2 linked regions of the Xenopus tropicalis genome follow. The protein of the gene in region 1 interacts with the protein of each later gene in a biochemical or structural test. Links are inferred from orthologs where the notes say so. Each region holds a gene or a part of one and is shown in the gene's direction. Other genes may lie near its edges.

Region 1 (3,500 bases):
ACCCAGTGGGTGAGCTTTAGCCTATAGGATAAACCCATGTAAATGGGACTTTTCTTCCCAGAATCCTGTTATGACTTATTTGCATACGTATGAGGCAGTCTCCTCAATCCTTTCAGCTTGTTCGTGAATCCCCACTCCTGGCTCTACCTAAGCTGATCAGAAAACCCTGCACTACACTGATGAGCCCCAAGAAGGGCGAAACCGGTCTGTAGTTGGGAATCTGATCAGCTATTATCCTGGTTTCTGCTTTAAACCCAGTGGGTGAGCTTTAGCCTATAGGATAAACCCATGTAAATGGGACAAGCCCATGTAAATGGGTCTTTTCTAGGAGCCTTAAGGAATTTCTTCCCAGAATCCTGTTATGACTTATTTGCATACGTATGAGGCGCTCTCCTCAACCGTTTTAGCTTGTTCGAGAGTTCAGAATGAATTCACAAAACGTTTGCACTGCTAAGTGCACTCACTAGCTTCACCTTGTGGTAGACATGATAATAGCACCCAAGCAGGAGATACTCTTTAGCTATTATGTGACTTCGGTCGTATTGAAAGTACATTAAGCAGGAGAAACAATAGCGTGTCTGAAAGTAGCTTTATCCTTTAGTGCTGGCACCTTCACAACAATACTACAACTAAAAGAATACAAATTTAAATTGCAAAGTAAATTATTTAAAATGTAAACAGTGTAATTTAGAAATAAAATATATACCATAAAAATCGTGACAGTATCCCCGTAAGTAACCAAAAGTATCTACAAAAAATGATCAACAAGACCTATAGGTAACTTGAAGAATAGTTTTTAGTGTTTGTATCACTTTAAGGCCACTCCAAAAAAGAAGAGAAATATATTGACATAGTTTATGCATTATACAGGGTTGCTGTTCAGGATTTCCTTCATGAAATTTATTTTCTACCTGATCATCCAGAATTGAAAGAAATTCAGAAGGTTCTGCAAGAATACAGGAAAGTAAGCCACCATATTGTGCTGCGTTTGGCTTCAATATATTATTGCCCATTACCAAGAAACATACGTTACCAGTTTTTTTATTTTTCTCTCTAGGAAACCACCAAAAGCACAGATTTGCAGACGGCCATGCAACTGTCCATAAGAGCCATCCAGCATGAAAATGTAGATGTTCGCATGCATGCCCTTACTAGTCTGAAAGAGACACTCTACAAGAACCAGGTGTAAAGACTTTGCAGAACATCAGCCTTTTTGTGCTTTCTGTATGCAGTGGTGTAACTATCTCTACAGGAGACTCTGCAGTCGCGGGGGGCTGGACCAACAAGGTCTGCTGTGTTTAATCCCCTGTCCCTGGACCACTTACTACCAGGACGTGCACTGTGAGCAGCCCAGGAGGAGGGGACAGTTCACCCCAAGCCCCCCTCAGATGGTTTTTATGCAGGGGGGCCTAGCGCAAACCAAGTTATGCTACTGTTTGTATGTGAACCTGTAACTGCTGTGGTCTCAGGAGCAGAGAGTCTTTAACTGTAATATGTTGTGCGCAGTTCAGTGCTCCATCTGTGAGGTTTCTTTGACAAATGTACAAGCATCATACATCATCCCCTCAGTTATATGGTGCTACATATTCATAATAATACTATATAAGCATGTATTTATGTTTATACTTAGCAAAACCTTGAGAACCCTCTTGTAGATACCAAACATTTCCCAGTGGTTTCTGGTTCTCATATTTTATAATTTATTACTATGTGACTGTGTTTAATGTGATTGTTTGCATCATTGTAGGCTAAACTGCTGCAGTATTCAACAGACAGTGAAACTGTCGAACCAGTTATCTCACAGCTGGTAACAGTGCTGTTAATTGGCTGCCAAGATGCCAATCCACAAGCCCGTCTATTTTGTGGTGAATGCCTTGGCCAACTTGGAGCCATAGATCCAGGGCGATTGGATTTCTCAGCCAGTGAAACACAAGGGACAAGGGGCTTTACTTTTGTTGTAAGTATAATGCTTCATCATTTTTGAAAAAAAAATAGTCAAAATAAAAAAAACAGTAAATATGCTCTGATTAGTTATATTGATGAAGAATGGCATACGTGTAACTGAAAAATGTTTAGCCCATTTTTTCGATGTCTTTAATTTTTTTTGCTCTCCATTATTAGTCAGGAGTTGAGGATTCAGATTTTGCCTATGAACTGCTCACAGAGTTAACAAGAGCATTTCTTGCCTATGCTGATAATGTCCGTGCCCAGGACTCTGCTGCTTACGCCATACAGGTAAGGAAAAGTCTTAAAGGAACAGAAAAAAATAAGCACAATTTATATCAAGATCGATGTTCCCATGATGCTCCACTGTCTCAAATATATACCTGAAAGTTAAACACATCACCAAAAGCCTTATAAATTACATAAATACATGAACCACTGTTATGACTATAAATTGTTTTGGCTCAAGAGTGACATGTAAGCCCAATTCTGTATATGCAAGTGCACTGGACTTGTATGTTTCAAATATTTATATGACAAACTTAATGTGTAATTTTAGGAGCTTCTCTCTATTTATGAGTGCAAAGAAGGAAGGACTGATTGTCCTGGGCGTAGGCTCTGGAAGAGATTCCCAGAACATGTTCAAGAAATATTGGAGCCACATCTTAACACCAGGTATGAATCAATATAATCTATTCTGTGGGCTGCTCACTAACCCTGACACTATTTGTGTTTTACTTCAGTCTTCTGTTTAATCCTCTCATTAGTTGTACGTTGATAATTTTGTGAATCTCAGAAGCATCCAGTCATCAGTGTCAAGCAATAACCTAGGGTGCATTAAATAGATACAGGTATAAGTAATCACTGGGACCTAAGGTTTTCATGATAGGATTGCTTTGCTGCCAATATGGTTCACACATTTTTCTCTTATTTCTTCTAATTCAAACTAATTGTTCTGAGGTGACAGGTTTACTTAAACTCAAGTGTCTATATGATAGTACACAATAGTTCTGTGGTAGTTTGTGCTGTTTTCTATCTTTATCTTTATTTTTGTAAATGAAACTCATTCATAGGTTGCAGACTTACAATAAATGTTATGTGTGCTGCAGAAATATATATATATATATATATATATATATAAAACATATAGCACATATCTAGTTTTGCTTGTTTATGTCTCAAATCATACAGTTTCATTACTGGTCTTTTATTTGCCTTGTACGTAATAGATACAAGAGTTCCAAAAAGGCTGTAAACTGGTCCAGAGTGAAAAAGCCCATTTATCTGAGCAAATTAGGCAATAACTTTGCAGACTGGTCAGCAACATGGGCAGGTTACCTCATAACTAAGGTACAGTATATGTTTTTTCTGCTTCCTTTCTCCAAGCAACCTTATTAGTAATGCACTGAATCCAGAAATCTCTTCCAGATTAGGCCAAATGCTAAGCATTTTTTGCAGAATTCCAATTCATGTGAATCCTTAATGTTCCATCTAAACCCTGATAGGGAATCTGTCACCCTTAGAAATAATTCTAAATCCTTTTCTATCAGGTTAGT
Region 2 (4,096 bases), on another chromosome or scaffold:
CCTGTGCTATAAACGCATCAAAGGACCGACATGGATGCTCCCATGGCTCGTTGCCTAGGGGGTTGTGGGCCCATCTGACTCACTGCATGCTGGCAAAAGCCACTAGTGCAGCGAGGAAGCCCTTTAATGCGAAGCATGACACAAGCATTTTTCTGCCAGTATGTAGTACCCACGTGCTAGGCAGGTAAAGGGTTAAAACATTGTACCCACAATAAAACACATACCTTGGAGGCACACACAGACTGACCCAACCTATCCCCCATTCCTGAGATACGAAAGGTCTATCGCCCCCCCCTGCCCTAACCTGACCCCCAAAGACAGAAGCATACCTGGGGGTGACACATGCTGCCTCACTTTCCCACAGTCAGGTATACAAACACTGCAAGGCATACACACAACTATGAATCATAAATAATGCTTTACTTACACACCTCCAACCCCCCTCCATCCATAACTAAAGACCTCACCTGCTGCCTATACCCACTCAGATAGATATGTCAGTTTCCCTACATATTGCTCTAGAGCAGGTGTGGCCAAAACGTTGATCGCGGTCCACCAGTCGATCCCCCGTGGATTTCTGGAGGGCCGCGTCTAAGCCGGGAAATGCGGAAGTGCAGCGCGTTTATTGGGTATGCGCACGCCGTGTTGCATACATACGTACATACGTGGGGAGGAGCAAAGTAGATCGCCGGGGGAAAAAGTCTGGGCACCCCTGCTCTAGAGTCAAATGCCCACCAGAACCATAACCCTAGGCAGTCTAATCTCACCACACACTGTGCCTCCCACACTAGGACATCTAAATACTTATGCACCCCCATAATTATCCAACACAGCAAAAACATCAGCACACTCAAACTCTTCCCCATACCTCAACATATGCAGCACATACACCTCACTTAACCTGAAAATATCACAAAAAAAGTCAACACTAAAGTCAACACAAACACACACCTCAAAACTCATCTGCACTCTTAACAAAACACCCCATATATAAGCAGGCTCCAATAACCCCCTTTACACAGACCAGCAAATGTGTAACAGATCCGCAGTCACCACTGAACCGCAAGTGCCCCAGTATAAAGGCAAGATCTGAATAAACTCCTACATCTAATCCTATCCCAACAAAGGGGGCAAACACAAAGTGCTACCCAGCGCAACCCAATACTGTACCACTGAGGCCCGCACTCCCGTACGTACCGATATATATATATATATGTGTGTGTGTGTATATGTGTGTATAGAGCCATTTGAAGAAGGCGCCGAATGTCACGTGTTGGGGGCGTCCCCCTGACGCTCATGTGTTCGTGACGTCACCTGCGCACCATGAGGAACTAGGCACAGCCTGAGAGCGGAGCGGCGCTGGGAAGATTGTCGCTGCTTTCTGTAAGCGCTCGGCATTATAAAGAGGGGGAGCCTGGCAGCCTAAACACGGAGCGCTCAGCAGGTACAGGGGCTCACGTTGCCAGGGTAAAACAAAGCTGGATACTTGAATGCTGGTGGGTTACCTGTGCCTGTCATGCAATCTCAGGCAGGTGGGGAACTGTGTGCCATGAAATGTTAGGGGCAAAGTGTTCCTGTCATGCAATGCGGGGAGGCTGCACTGTACCTGTCATGGAACCCTGGGGGCCCTACCTGGCTTATCATGAAGTGCTGGGGGACACATTGTGCCTGTTGTGAGAAAGCAGCAGGCCCCATTAGCTTCTTATGAAATGCAGTGCCTGTTGCAGTGCCACACTGTGCCTGTTGTGAAGGGCCGGGGGCCACACTGTGCCTGTTGTGAAGGGCTGGGGGCCACACTGTGCCTGTCGTGAAGGGCCGGGGGCCACACTGTGGTGCTACACCTGGTGCTATATTGCTAGTAAAAGTAATGCTTGATGCCAATGTTAGTAATAGGGAGGGATGAAAGATACAAATGTGGGAAGGCTGCTATTTTTCCCTGAAAAGGCAACCTTACTAAATTACAGATAAAAATGAAGATGATGGTGTATCTCTTTGCTCCATGGGACCAGTTCCATGTCCCAGTTTAATGCAACCCCTCCATAACCTTGCATTGTGACGTGATATATTCTGGGATATGATGTCCCTCTGGTTTCTGTAATAAGTGATGCACAGACTTCAGGTACCAGAAATCATAACTTCACAGTGCAGCAAGGGGATGGTGGGGCTGCATGACAATGGGCCTCATGTACAATGTCCCACACAGTGTGCAAAGTGCAAAAAAAAAATGCCCCGAAAGGTAGACTGCGCTTTAATTCAAGTGCTGTCTGTGTAAAGGTCCCCATACACGGGCCGACTATAGCTGCCGATATCGGTCCCTTGGACCGATTCAGCAGCTAATTGGCCTGTGTATGGGCAGAACAGAGCGGCCTGGCCGACCGATATCTGGCCTGAAACTGGCCAGATCTCGATCGGCCAGGTTAGAAAATCCAGTCGGATCGGGGACCGCATCGGCTCATGATGCGGTCCCCGAACCGACTGCCCCATAACCACAAATGTAATCCAATCGTTTGGCCCTGGGGCCAAAGGATTATTTTTTTTTAAAGTTACTTGCTACCCGATATCGCCCACCCGTAGGTGGGGATATCGGGTGAAGATCCACTCGCTTGGCGACATCGCCAAGCGAGCGGATCTTATAGTGTATGGGCACCTTTAGGCAATGATCAAGTAGATAGGTCCCCTGTGCTCAACCTTCAAGACTTTATGCATCTACCGCCAAACAATAGAGCCGCACTCTCTGCTAATATCAATCCAAGAAAGAATGTAGAGGCAAGCACAAAAAAGCACAATAATGCTGCAAAAAGTGCTTTTATTGCTACACCATACACAACATGTTTCAGGCCCCTTCCCCTACACTTCATACAAAAACATGTCAAAATTTTAGGCTCCCCCCAGTGTAATAGATTGCTAATCTAGGTCCTGGAAAAGATACCTAAGCGCCAGAGCTGACTTGTACACTTACCTTTCTACTGGCATCCCAGAGGTCCACTGGATGCCTGGGACCTCTGGGATGCCAGTAGGAAGGTAAGTAAAATGCTGGTGCAGTGCTTAGGGAGGTTTTTCCACAGGCTGGTGCAGTTTTCCTTTTATAGGAGCACCAGCCTAGGAAATAAATTTAGCAATCTATTTCACTGATGGTGCCTAATATCTTGGCACCCCCCAGCAAAATACGCTTTTCCTGTTCTTTAATAAAAATGACTCGCAAAACAAGACTGGTACCGGTTGTGGTTCACATGTTCTCTTCTCTAATATTGCTTTTTTTCTTCAATCACAGGACCTTTTATTGGTGCATTATGTCTGTTAACCCCTTGTTTGCTAATAAGAAAAGGGAAAGCTCCATATTGTACAACACAGCGTGTGCACAAGTCGGCTCCTCTCTCAGTATTCCACAAGGTGCCCAGAGCACCAGCTATGACAGAAGCAGGTATCCTCCTCCAAAGCGTCACAGAGCAGCAAATGTTGACTACAAGGCCATGGACGACCCTTTTGATGACAATGAAGATTTTACAGCTGACGACCTGGAGGAGATTGACATCCTTGCATCACAGGCTTACACGCAGGACACTGGGTCAACAAGTATCCAAAAAACATTTATAAATAACCAGCCAGCATATACATTAAATGCCACAAAGCCACATTCTTTATCACACAGAAGTGAAAAAGGTAAGTCATTTATTGAATTCCAGTAATAGAAATATCTAATCCCTTGTAGTGATTAGTTAATGGGGAACTATAGCAAAAATGAAATTTTAATATAAGCTTCATCTCACAGAAATAAGAAACTTTCTAAATATAATCAGTTAAAACTTCTGACCTGTTTCTGAAATAATCAGGGGACACTTCATTATCCCCTTCTCAGTATCCGTCTCTCTTCATGCAAGAGTCAGAATTTGATTTAAAGGTCTCTCTACATGAAGGATGTATGCCAGAGTCGGTTATTTTAGATTTTGTTTGTGCTGGGGTCAGCTATTTAAGCGTTGGCTCTAATACATCTGCTAGGAATGGGAGCCACCCCCAAGGCTGTATTAGACCTACCTATCAGTCAAAATCTGTCCCCTGACTGCATAAAAAGAGACAGATGATGTTAGTGAAGAGCAAC

Evidence for each region.
Region 2: the proteins of atr (region 1) and atrip form a complex in vitro, tested with the Homo sapiens proteins (4 studies listed by BioGRID and IntAct, with this or other methods). The link is inferred for Xenopus tropicalis from reciprocal best matches to the Homo sapiens genes ATR and ATRIP.

The regions. Positions count from the first base shown.
Region 1 is NC_030681.2:119,633,067-119,636,566, reverse strand, and holds part of atr (serine/threonine-protein kinase ATR), read left to right. Parts: intron 1-870; coding exon 871-964; intron 965-1,057; coding exon 1,058-1,183; intron 1,184-1,747; coding exon 1,748-1,957; intron 1,958-2,121; coding exon 2,122-2,235; intron 2,236-2,503; coding exon 2,504-2,619; intron 2,620-3,173; coding exon 3,174-3,294; intron 3,295-3,500. UniProt on the Homo sapiens protein: Serine/threonine protein kinase which activates checkpoint signaling upon genotoxic stresses such as ionizing radiation (IR), ultraviolet light (UV), or DNA replication stalling, thereby acting as a DNA damage sensor.
Region 2 is NC_030680.2:123,905,907-123,910,002, reverse strand, and holds the start of atrip (ATR-interacting protein), read left to right. Parts: upstream 1-1,296; 5' UTR 1,297-1,444; intron 1,445-1,471; exon of another isoform or gene 1,472-1,496; intron 1,497-1,507; exon of another isoform or gene 1,508-1,532; intron 1,533-3,271; 5' UTR 3,272-3,290; coding exon of another isoform or gene 3,291-3,470; coding exon 3,471-3,660; intron 3,661-4,096. UniProt on the Homo sapiens protein: Required for checkpoint signaling after DNA damage. Required for ATR expression, possibly by stabilizing the protein.